Yarrowia lipolytica: one gene and its partners. The protein of the gene in region 1 binds, or shares a complex with, the protein of each later gene. Links are inferred from orthologs where the notes say so. Each region holds a gene or a part of one and is shown on either strand. Other genes may lie near its edges.

What was found.
Region 2: YALI1_A21565g (region 1) and YALI1_E29617g share a complex: the UniProt entries of both Saccharomyces cerevisiae proteins name them as parts of the mitochondrial large ribosomal subunit. The link is inferred for Yarrowia lipolytica from reciprocal best matches to the Saccharomyces cerevisiae genes MRPL40 and MRPL17.
Region 3: YALI1_A21565g (region 1) and YALI1_F23368g share a complex: the UniProt entries of both Saccharomyces cerevisiae proteins name them as parts of the mitochondrial large ribosomal subunit. The link is inferred for Yarrowia lipolytica from reciprocal best matches to the Saccharomyces cerevisiae genes MRPL40 and MNP1.

What each region holds. Positions count from the first base shown.
Region 1 is NC_090770.1:2,154,231-2,158,845, forward strand, and holds YALI1_A21565g (mitochondrial 54S ribosomal protein uL24m), read left to right. Parts: upstream 1-2,273; coding exon 2,274-3,179; downstream 3,180-4,615. Other genes in the region: YALI1_A21550g (uncharacterized protein), read right to left, coding at 1-767; YALI1_A21554g (uncharacterized protein), read left to right, coding at 1,112-1,661, 1,721-1,761. UniProt on the Saccharomyces cerevisiae protein: Component of the mitochondrial ribosome (mitoribosome), a dedicated translation machinery responsible for the synthesis of mitochondrial genome-encoded proteins, including at least some of the essential transmembrane subunits of the mitochondrial respiratory chain.
Region 2 is NC_090774.1:2,959,893-2,963,931, forward strand, and holds YALI1_E29617g (mitochondrial 54S ribosomal protein mL46), read left to right. Parts: upstream 1-1,788; coding exon 1,789-2,646; downstream 2,647-4,039. Other genes in the region: YALI1_E29611g (uncharacterized protein), read right to left, coding at 800-1,264; YALI1_E29642g (uncharacterized protein), read right to left, coding at 3,067-4,039. UniProt on the Saccharomyces cerevisiae protein: Component of the mitochondrial ribosome (mitoribosome), a dedicated translation machinery responsible for the synthesis of mitochondrial genome-encoded proteins, including at least some of the essential transmembrane subunits of the mitochondrial respiratory chain.
Region 3 is NC_090775.1:2,335,498-2,339,136, forward strand, and holds YALI1_F23368g (mitochondrial 54S ribosomal protein bL12m), read left to right. Parts: upstream 1-1,357; coding exon 1,358-1,422; intron 1,423-1,574; coding exon 1,575-2,001; downstream 2,002-3,639. Other genes in the region: YALI1_F23351g (mitochondrial 54S ribosomal protein uL14m), read left to right, coding at 1-15; YALI1_F23364g (uncharacterized protein), read right to left, coding at 666-975, 1,042-1,067; YALI1_F23391g (uncharacterized protein), read right to left, coding at 2,521-3,639. UniProt on the Saccharomyces cerevisiae protein: Component of the mitochondrial ribosome (mitoribosome), a dedicated translation machinery responsible for the synthesis of mitochondrial genome-encoded proteins, including at least some of the essential transmembrane subunits of the mitochondrial respiratory chain.

The DNA of each region.
Region 1 (4,615 bases):
TGCTTGATCTGTTCATTGAGAGATGCCTCCTGAGCCGTAGAGTAGTCTCGTAGACTCACAAGAGCCGCTTCAAGCTGGGCGTTTCGTTGAATGGCAGCCTCATCAGCTGAGTCGATTCTCTCCGAAGGCACGTTGAGCTCTTGTCGCAGTTCCTCCATTTCTCGTTTGGCAATCTCCAGCTTTTCTTCTGCCATTTCTCTGTCAAGAGTAGCCATCTCCAAAGCGTCTTCGTGCTGTTCCAGCTTCACCTTGGCATGGGCATGTTCATTGGAAGTCTTGGTGAGATCGGCGCGTAGCTGCTTGACCTCGTCACTCAGGGGACGCAGTTTACTCTCCAGCTTGGCGACAATTGTCTCGAGTTTCTTTTTTTCACGCAAATCTGTCTGAAGTTGCTGAATTTGTTCTCGCTCAAGCTTTCTTTTGCTATCTGTGACACGTAGCTTGGCCTTGAGACTCTCCACCTGCTTGGCCAAAGCTGTAGACGAGTCTGAGACGTCTGACATGGCCGACTGGGGTCGTTGAGACGGTCTAGGCACCTCTGGAGGCGGCATGAGGTCTGCGTCTGTCTCCACTTGTGGTCGTCTCACAAACTTTCCCGATGTTCCTTTGCATTCAAAGTACCGAACTCCCTGGACGCTGCCGTCATTGTTTCCCTGTCCCTCAACCATTTCCACTCCAATCCACTCTCCCGTGGAGAACTGAGTGGGTCCGATGAATCGGACGTGCGCCGGCACTCCCTTGACCCGCACGCGATCTCCGACTTTCATGTGTGCAAGTATCGTACAGTAGCAGTGGTGCTCGTGATGTGTCGCAGTGTCGTGGAGGTAGATATTCGGACTGCATGCCGACGGTAAATGAAATATCCTAAATTTGTTAGTTAGTTAGTTAGCATAGTTAAGTACTTCTGGTAGCTATAACACCCTATAAAATAACGGCCCGACACGTGATTTTGGCGTACTAAATTCTATGTAGTTTTCTCGCCCATATCAACTTCCAAATCGACTCTTCAGGACCTCACTTTTGCTACTTGTAGATATGATTATTCTGCATTCGCCATCTATAAACAAATCCCATCCACCAACCTACATTACAATACATGTATGCGTAGACAATGCACAACGAGTTTAGGCTAAAACGCGTCTCGTTTATTCCCACAACCTATCACCACAGTACAAACACAACCCCCACAATCACCATAATGCAGTCGGCACGACGAAAACAGACGGCGTTCCCCTCTCGGGGCGTGGCTGCCACCAAGCGAGAATTATCTGCGGATCAACGACAAGAGATCCAGGAGGCCTTCGACCTGTTCGATGCCCATCAGAACCGAGCTCTGGACTTTCATACCCTCAGAGCAGCCATGCGAGCACTCGGCTTCGAGCTCAAGAAGGCTGAGGTGCTGCAGATTCTGGACGAGAACGACACGACACAGCAGGGCGTGATGACGTGGGAGGCGTTTGAGCAGGTTATGACACAGATGATTCTGGACCGAGACCCGCTGGAGGAGGTCAAGCGGGCCTTCCAGCTGTTTGACGAGGACAACACCGGTATTATCACTATCAAAAACCTGCGAAAGGTGGCCCGAGAACTCAACGAAAATATCGACGAGAGTGAACTGCAGGCCATGATTGAGGAGTTTGACCTTGACCAGGATGGAGGAAGTGAGTATGAGTGAAAGAGAGCTGATGGAGCATCACAAAGAAGAAGTCTACTAACACAGTCAATCTCGAGGAATTCATCGCCATTTGTACCGAAAACTAGCTTATTTAATCTAATGTATTTTTATCATCCACAGCTGGTGGAATTGTGTGGATGTACATGTGTTTAACGTATTAATTAAGTCTAATGCCATATACCGTATTTGAAGCATCCTTTATGTCTATTGCTGATCTTTATGATCGACCTACAAGTACTGTAGAAGTAGTTTGGTGGTATCCTTGGTTTTTGTCAGTCTTCTTACATAAGCAAACATGACAAGTCCCAGTGATATCTTCGGTGACATAAATAGAGTTTGGGAGAGGTAAAAAGTGCACGTGACGTCAAATTTTCGACGGCAACGATGACCACAAAATCAAGACTCCAGAGTGTATGAAAATCCGTAAATCAATGTGAAATAACCCGCTCTATATTTCCCACCTACTTCCTTTTTCTCAGCTCTCTCTGTGCGCCAATGAAATCGATCTGATGTTCATTTCTCTCGAACCCTCCCAACAGGGCAAGGGCCTGAAATTTTCATTTTCATCAGAACTCATACAAACCACCACCCTCACACAATGAGACCTACGCGGACGGTACTGAAATCGAGGTTCATCCACGACCCCAAGACCATCTACCCTCGGGTCCGTGTGGATCGGATCCAGCGGGCCACTCTCAAAAAGGCCCCCAAGTTCCAGCAGGTTCTGGCCAGCCATGCCGTTCCCGAGTGGGAGCGATTCACCAAGGAGAGCCAATGGCACTTTATGCCCGGCGACAAGGTCCAGATCCTGGCTGGCCCCGACAAGGGCAAGGTGTCTCAGATCATGGCTCGACACGAGGAGGGAAACTCTTACCTGGTTGATGGAGTCAACGGTACTCAGACCTTCCCAATTCCTCCTGCTATGGCCCAGGAAGGACAGACCACCCACGTGATCGAGTTCCCCAACCCTCTGAAGCAGTCGGAGCTGCGTCTGGTGGCCCAGCGACCTGAGGAGGACGGTACCACCACCGAGGTTGCTATTGCTGCCGTGGAGTGCGTGGGAACCTACTACGACCCTGCCTACAAGCGAGTGCTCCCCCGACGAGTCATGGCCCACGATCACAAGACCCAGGTGCCATGGCCCGCTCCTCTCGAGCCTGTCGAGCATGTGGAGGGCTCTACCGAGCGAGATGTGGCTCGAGAACGAACCCACTGGGTCACTTCTCTGGTCAAGCCTCCTTTCCCCATCGGAGCTCTGCCCGACATTCGAAACGTGCACCACAAGCGATTCAAGCGATTCTCCGAGCGAGAGGTCGATCTCCTCACAGCCCCCAAGCCCTTCATCCCCAAGGGCACCCCCGAGCTTTTCGCTCGACCCCAGCACAAGAAGCCTGAGAACAAGCTCACTGCTGAGATGGAGGCCTTCATTGGCAACGTCATGCAGAAGCACGCTGACGCCCAGGTGGGCCAGCATGACCGAGTCAAGGGCCTCAAGTATAAATAGTGTATATAGTAGCATGATAGCAATTTTCTGACTTGAAGAGCGTATGTAGGCCGTGAGTACGCTCTAGACCTGATGGCCTGACGTCGTCAAGTAACCTCGTTGTCGCGGACCGCGAGACCACGAAACCACGAAACCACGAGTTCTCCGGACCTATTTATCGTAATGAAATAGAGACATCTTGATCGTAGGCTTTTTTATGATCTCTGGACTACAAATCGCCCGCGGCCGTGTAGTCTAGTAAAGGAAGGATACTTGTATCGAAAAAGCGTACAGTAACAAGTTACTACTTGTAGTGGGTGCATAGTAGGTAAACCAGTCTAAAGTGTGTCTTCATAGGTGTCTCTTCGTCAACCCTTCGATGCACTCGAGAATGAAGTACAAGTAGTACAGAACTTGTAGAGTGATGAGCTCATGCACATGCCTTGTCTCGAGTATGAGGGTGTAAGCAGTGGTCTATCTGATAGTGGAGCAAGTAGAATGACTAAATTCTCAGATATCGTTTATCTCTAATCCATCTTACTAAATTCCAAGTCCGGCCAAATCTTCCTACTTTTTTCACGTACTTTTCATTATTGTATAGTAGTTACTCCTCAACTACCATCGGGAATTCCAACTATAAGAAGTGGACTACGACCACGCCCTCCAGACTCCATCCCTCACCTCTCAACTTCAAAACTGCTTATGTAAGAGGCTACCCAACAGCCCAGCAAAGAAATATGAGCTTAGACACTCATAAGTCTTCGTCTTGGACCTCTGTCTAACTCATTAGTAGTCAAAGCCTCTGTCTCAGAAACAATAACAGCCGTAGACTTGCTAACTACAGCACATTCTATATGAGTAACGTGCTTGTAACGTATTGGTAAATACTTGTAGAAAATGAACTACCGCCCAAACATGTTGTCCCCTCAGACTTTCACGTAATACGGTCTCGCGTCGCCCGGTCTGACCCTTACCTTCCCAGTCTGAAGTCAACCTCAAACTGCCCAATTTGCGAGTAGCTAATCTTGAACAGGGCGATCTACATCACCAGGTTGCCATAATATGTAATTCATATAGAATTCGCAACTGTCGAGCGAGTCTGAAGGTGGGCGGCTAAAATCATGGCTATGTTGCCAAGAGGTCTCACAAAACCAAAATTAACAAGTCCTGGCGTGCAACCACATTTGAATCTCTCTCTACTTGTAGGCTTGAAAACCATACAAGCGCTGCTTGCCGAAACCACCATCGCCACATAGTAGAGACAAACCCGTGGGCTGTTAAATTACCACCGCCTCGACACGTCGCGGTTGCGCTTGTAGCGCCCTTGACGTCTTACTCCTACAAGCACCTACGGTAATTACACGTCTCAATCCGTCTGTTTTCGGACAGACTCCAGGCTGTGTTTGGAAAGACAGATGCCAAAAAAAGTTTGCCCGTCAAAACCTTTGCCTGACCCA
Region 2 (4,039 bases), on another chromosome or scaffold:
CACGGAGGTTAGCTGGCGCTACCTGAAGTGTCATCTCGTTAATCGGTCTTTTTGTCGGTTTCCAAGGTGTCTTTCTCTTCGACTGAAAGACACCACCCTTTCTCAAATGGTACGTTTTTGATGATGTTGGAGGCCACGAACGCGTTCGGAAGATGATGCAAAGTAGGGTGAGAAGGCATTTCCCTTCCCTGATTAATCCCAATCCTCTAAGAAGCACTGACGTTTGCTTTGTTTGTGGCATCTTTTACATGTCTCGACTTCTCTTACTAACTTCAGGTATGTTCCACTGTGTTTGCAACACCTTTAAGGATGAAAAACTTCTGTCAATCCCCTGAACTGGATTCCGCAATCAAGAAAATAGGTTTCCAGGATATGACGATTCGTGTCGCCTGATTTTAAACATGGCATCTCTTGTCTTTGTTGTTCCCTACTAACCTTAGCTATAGTAATCTATCCCTTAACTACTTTCTGTGAATGTGTGTGTCTTAAAGCTATTGCTGTCTTATGAGTGTAAGCAGTTGTATCGTATGAACCAGTATCCAGTACAAGTATCGTCTCTGGCGTGTATGATTTTATTACAGGTCCAATACATACATCTTCCCATAGATCGAGAGCTCCAAAGGTAGATTCCATCGACACCTTGGAGGTTGCATTCTACTTGTAGTACGTATATATCAGCTACCCTTTTTCGTTTGCAAGTACAGTTTTTAAGTCTCTACACAACCAAACATCATCTACTCTACAGCCAGCGTCCAAACACCATCTATCAATCTATACCTCGCGTTCTACCCTGTCATAACTACACCCGCTTGATATCCCACTTAACATCAGTGACGGACACCTCCTCACTGTTCTTCTCGTCGTAGTCAAACCACTCGCCCTCGGATAGATCCATCTCCTTGAAAGGTGTGCCAGACTCGCCCTTGCACTGGAAGTCACCGTCGGCTCGGAACTCCTTGAGCTCGAGACCTCGACAGTCGATCTGCAGAATCTCGGCGGGCTTCTTATCGTCGGCGTTGAGAGTTTTGCCTGTCTCGGTGAGGGTGGCAGACGACTCTCGCTTGCAGAAGCGGCACTTGAAGACGAAGTTGGCGTCTCCTCGACTGCCGCTGATGTCGCTCTTGTCCTGGGCGTTCATGGTGACCCAGTTTTCGTGGACCTCATGGCACGAATTGCACTCAATTTTGAAGGAGAACTCGTAGGGTAGCGTGGGTCCCAACTCTGTGACTCCCTGGAGCTCTGCGGAAAGAAATAGACCGAACATCGTGTCCTTCTAGTTGGTGTTGATGATCTAGATGTCGAAAGCGCACCCAAAAGTTTATACGCGGAGGTGTGATGTGATTGAGTGTAAATAAGTGTATGACATACTGGCAGTAATGGAGGTGTCAGATTGGAAGAAACAGTAATGAAATGTTGTATCCAATCTGAGTCTCTATGTTAAAATCTCTTTCAGATCCACTTATTACCTATACAAATATCGTGTGTTGTTGCATGGCTCACTTAGTGCTCAGCTGACTATACAACGCTGACGAGGTACGATCGTTGTACTCGTTACATAATCATAAGACCACTGGACCGCTGTTATTCTCAATACACTATTTCTAAAAAACGGAATATTCTACACTATGTGTGATATGCCCAATACCACATCACACTCACATTTTCCCTCCTTCATTTTATACCACATTGTCGCATCGTTCTCCTCCTACCCTAACCTTGTGAAATTTCAACCGCCAAAAGTTTGCACTGCATACGCTGTCACGATATATCTCACCCGCCATACTCAAGATGATTCGGGCTTTTTCGACAAAAAGCACGGCGTGGAACGCCGCCAAGGAGGCTGTTGCAGAGACCTCCGGCAAGAAGGCCGGACGTCTGACTGCCGAGACCCGGGCCAACATTTCCGGAGGCATGATTCTGTCTCGAATCCCCATCGTCACCTCCGAGCCCACTCCCTTTGCCAAGCAGTACTACGAGTACATGGATGGTCTCAAGCGCCGAATGATGTGGACCTTCCCCTCGTTTCTTTACTTCAAGCGAGGTACTCTTGCTGAGCGAAAGTACAGAGAGCTGAACAAGATCCCCACCCAGGCCCGAGACGGAGTAGTGTACCCCGAGGGTATTCCCGATGTGGTGAATCACCGAGAGCGAACAATGCCCCAGAAGATCGCCGTGCCCACCAAGGACAATGAGGGCTCTCGAGGCGCCAAGAAGGGCACCGAGGAGGGCGAGGAGGATGTGATCAAGCCCAACTCCCGAATCACTGAGGCCGACAAGCAGAACGACGTCAAGTCACTGGAGCGAAAGCTGGACCGAACCCTGTACCTACTGGCCCAGACCAAGAACGGCTGGCGATTCCCCTCGGTCGTTATCAACGAGAAGGAGACCATCGATGAGGCCGCCAAGCGAGGCATCCACGAGCTCGGAGGCCCCGACATGAACATCTGGAACGTGTCGCACACCCCCGCGGGCTTCTTCAAGAACGGCGACAAGCGAGAGTTCTACGTCAAGTCACACATTGTCCAGGGCGAGTTCAAGCCCAGCCGGGACGTGCAGGACTTTGCGTGGCTCACCAAGGAGGAGATCCAGGCTAAGGTCGACGACCAGTACTACCAGCAGCTGCATCCTCTTCTCAACTCGGTTTAAACTGCATCTGTCGACCGACCAACTGAGACCGCACACGAGGAAAAGACTAATGTATATATGTGTATATAGGGGGATGATGATTGAGTGATTGAATGAGTGTACGAGTACTTGTAGTGTATGTTGGTACATTATGACTGTAACATATACCGTAGCTAGCTGTGGTGTTTTAGTGAATGCAATCCGGTTCTAATATTATACTACATACACTTGTACTTGTACCTATACTTGTACTTGTACTGGTTTTATATTCTGTGCTGCAGACGAGGGTGTGGGAAATCCAGTGACTGTCGCACGCTCCGATAGCTAATCAGTATCTGTCAGTATGAGGGCTCGCTGGTTGCTCCGGTGTCATCCTCTCTTTCAAATCTGGCTTTAATGACTAGAGGATTCTTGTCGCACATGCCAGCCCGATTTCGGCATCTAGTAACCACTCGGCCTATTACCTCCTACAGTAATCACATTCAGACCCGCAACGTCCCCAGAAAATGCCAGGTTGTACTTCACCGGGCTCCATGCCACCACTGGGAGCCCTGTCCATCTCGGACGAGAAACAGCATGCACAAATTTTCCAGTGTCCACATGTACAATGTCCACAGGGATATCGTTGTTGTCATACCCGACGGCAATGTAGTCTCCATCATGCGAAAAATCGAGAGAAACGACCGGTTGGTCGTGCTTGGACAGTGTCTTGACACATACCAACTCTTTGGTATCCCACAACGAAACAATGCCTTCATTGCCACCCACAGCAATATAACGGCCTTGAGGATCAGGTTTGACACAGTTCGCGGCTGTTGTGTGTCCTAGAAGCTCAAACAGAGTGGTCACATTAGACGTGCTTAATGATTGGGAAGAAGTAACCACCTTTTCGACCTCTTCAGAAGTAGCAGCAGTCTGGAGATTCAGCTTGAGCAGCTTCACCACACCAATTCCCATTGTAATGGCCATGACAGCAGTTGTGTTTGTCCAAGTTGCCGCGAAAATTTCGTAGGGAGATTCCTTGTATGCAGCAATGGGGTTTCCAAACGCTTCCATTGCACCAATGGCGATCTTGGGTGCCCCTCGCGATCTTTGCGAGTCCTTTCCTCCATTCTGACGTCCTCCGATGTTTGTGCTGGGTGCTGGTTCAGCCACTTCTCCGTTGAAAGAAGGCGCGTACCACAGGATCGCATTGTCTCGTCTTAACACCGATATGTACCGACCACAGGGAGACCACAAGCAGGCTAGATTGTCGGCTCCGGTGTTCACGGATGCAAGCAGCGTTTTTGTTCTTGTGTCCCACACCTTGAGAGTTCCGTCGAGACTGCAAGTAGCGAGCTGATCGGGACTGATGGGAGACCATGCCAGGCCCACTACAGCCTTTTGAGACTTGCTTGAGGAGTATGGGATTTCT
Region 3 (3,639 bases), on another chromosome or scaffold:
CCCCGAGTCTTGTAATCTGTGCTTACCGTACCCGTACCGTAACCATGGCTTGTATATAGTATTTAAATGTTTGGTATTCACAAGCTGTAGTGTGGGATGGGTAGCTTGGAAACAAGGAGTGGTTGTAGTGCGAGTACAAGTAAGCCCAAGAAAGTAATTTATCGATGATTATAGATAATGAATGAATGTTGTCACAGATGTAGTTACAGCACTCGTACGAATACTTGTACCGTATGTACTTGTTCTGTGGGGATAGAGCTTGCCTCCATACTTCATCACTATCTTACTTCGTCACTATTGTACTCCATCATAGATTCAGCCATCCAGAAATAACATGTCAAAGTGCTATTTCGAGATAAGGAGCAACTCTTGTTTGTATCAACTTGAGGTTCCGTTCTAGAAGACGGTGTTTGATCAAGTAGAGAATCTCATAGCTATCGTCGTATGCCCTCAAAATGTCATCTCCACCCCATACCAACCAACGTCAGACCTCCTCCATTTTATGAGACAAAGTCTCACACGCCCTTCCCAATCCCCTGTGTTACAGCTCAACTTGGTCTCCGCCACCTATCCCTCCACCGCCTACGCCTCCACACAGATGCTCACGTCAAAACATAAATAATCCATTAACGAACCAATAATATACAACCCTCGAATAATCCCCTCTAAGACCGGAAAATGTTGTTGCAGTTGTTGCAGACAAAAAACAGAATCATGGTGGTCTCCGCACGCTTCTGTTGCGACTGGAAGAAGACCACATCGTGCTCGTGACACTTGGGACACTCCTTGTCGGATCGAGGCAGAGTGGGATCTGCTCCAATACCGGTTGTCACTCCGGCCGTCTCCTCAATGTTGGTGATCAGCTGATGCTTGAACACCAGAGGAGTGGATGCAAACTCCGTGTACGGACAGTTTCGGCATGCAAACAGCAGCTTTCTATCCTCCTTATCCTCTCTCGGATAGAGCATGTTGTTGCTGGGTTAGCGCTGGTCCTCGATCATTTCTCGTCCTCTCGTTATCTAGTTCTCTCTGATCACTCACCACTCGAGACAAAATCGCGACGTCATTTTGGTTCCGTCTTGTTCCACACACTGAGCTGTCGTCTGCTGTGTGTTTTTCAAAGCCCAGTGAAGATGGTGTTCTGCAGCTCTATGGCAAACTCTAAATGTGCGCACGAGTCTATTCTTCCCGTCTCTAATCCCCCTCCCTCTGACTACAAGTATAGTGATTGGGAGGTTTGGGACACCACAGTACAAGAGCAAGGCCGGGTAACCCTCCGTCACGCACCCTGAAAATTTGAAAACTCACCTACAGCAGCGTCTACACTGAGTCCATCTCAACCCCATACAACCGCACAATGTCTGCTCTTCGAATGTCTCTTCGAGTTGCTCGAGTCGCCCGTGTGGCTCGAGTTGGTGTTCGGTGAGTATTAATTGCGAGATTCACTCCTTGATTGTTTTTCTCGACATTGAAATCAAGCCAGATCACCAGCCAGATCATGTCATCAACTCACAAAAGCACTGATCTGAAGACGAAACGCTTCAAAAAAACCCACCCAGCTCCAACTAACACAGATTCAACTCCACCGCCGCCCCCGTGGACCCCAAGATCACCGCTATTGTCGACCAGATTGCCCAGCTCAACCTGCTGGAAACCTCGTCTCTGGTGACCGAGCTCAAGAGCCGACTCAACATTCCCGATATCTCTTTCCCCGCCGCCGGAGCCGCCCCCGCCGCTGCACCTGCCGCTGCTGCCGAGGAGGCCGCCCCCGAGCCCGTCGAGGAGAAGACCATCTTCAACATCAAGCTGGAGTCATACGATGCCAAGGCCAAGCCTAAGGTGATCAAGGAGATCAAGACCCTGCTCGGTCTGTCTCTGGTCGACGCCAAGAAGATTGTTGACGCCGCCCCCAAGATGGTCAAGGAGTCCGTCCCCAAGGAGGATGCCGACAAGATCAAAAAGGTGCTTGAGGATCTCGGCGCCAAGATTACTCTTGAGTAAGTGTATATAGTAACTCATTTTGAACCAGACAAAATACGAGTGCGAACCACGAGTATTGGATGCTCTTCTGGCTGGAGAACTGGAACGTAGTTGGAGTAGTAGTCGTTGTTGCCCTTATGGTACGGCTGTGATACGACAGAGTACTTTCAAGATGTAAAGCATGAAATACGACGAAGGAAATGTTTGCTTGACTGTTTAGATATGTTGACAATATCAATAGCCTTTCGGATAGTCAGATATCGGTACTGAAGCAGTGTGATTTCCTTGACCTAATCACTTACTCATATGTTACGTTGATGACATGATCTGAATGCCAATGGGCAACAGTTTCATATCTTCCAGCTGAAACATCTCAATTGCATCTACAACCGTCTATAATCACCAGGTGGTTGTACATTACTAATAAATTATTCTACATGTTGGTATGAACGCCGTCATTGGATAGCTACGGCTAGGCATACCAGAATCCCGTTTTTTTATCACCTCTTGATCTCGTTTTAAGCACCCACTACTCCTTCGTTAAAAGTCTGGGCTCATGCTCATGCTCTTCTGCCGTCTATTGTGGGCAGCAAGGCGTCTAGCGTAGCTAGGAGTTCCGAGTTCTGAGGGCGTGGCTGGAGTAACAGATCTCAACGACGACGACCGGGGCATCCGGGGAGTGGTCGGATGTTGTGGGGGGGGCTGCACGAATTGAGGAGCATACTGCTGTTGTTGAGACGGCGGTATCTGTTGTTGGGTGTAGGGACTCTGGTAGGGGCTGCTAGAGCTGTATCCCTGAGGACTAACAACACCAATGACACTTCTTCGGTTGGTTCTCTTGATGGCATGGATCTCTAGTTTCTTCTCGAGGATCTTGACGAAGGAGGAAAGAGCCACTAAATTGTTTGAGATGCCTTCTGAGAGGCCAGATTGGCCTGGTAAGTGGCACAGGGCAGTCATCTCCTCGTACATGGTATACAAGGACTCGTAGAGATCTGCATCCAAATTCTTCAATCGGTTCAGCGACATTTCAATGTCAATCATGTCCTCCGAGTGATCAAAGTTGGACATAGTGGACTGCCCAGTGTGTTGAGTTTGCAGAGGTTGTTGTATATGGGCTCTCTGATGCTCCATTTCCGACTCTATGGACTCGCACGATTCGCTGGACTCGTTTGATGCAAACGACGTGTCTCCATCTGCTCTGGAGACTCCCTCCTGTTCCGTTTCGGTGCCTGCCGAGTCTTCGGAGTTCTCATCATCTCCCTCCATCTCAGACTCCATGTTGAGACGTCTGATACGTTCTCTGAGAGCTCCTAACGCCGACCACGCCGAAGAGGGAGGCTCAATAGTCTCGGGCTCCAAATCACGCACGTCCCGCAACGTGGACGAGCGATGATGGCTCTTGTACGCTGGCTTACCACCTGCAGGGGACCCCGATCCAAGACCGCCCATGTATCCGTTGTTGAAGGCTGGAAATGAGTTGACGCTGGTCGAGTGGGTATGCGACGTGTGTGGACGACCTGCTGTCTGTGGTCTGTGCCCGTGAGATGTGTTTGGACGTGGTGCTCCTCCACCATACAGAGATGAGCTTCTGGACCGCGACATTTGGGTGTTTGCGAACGGGTTTTCTTCGCGGTCACCTGAACGGCTGCCGCGTCG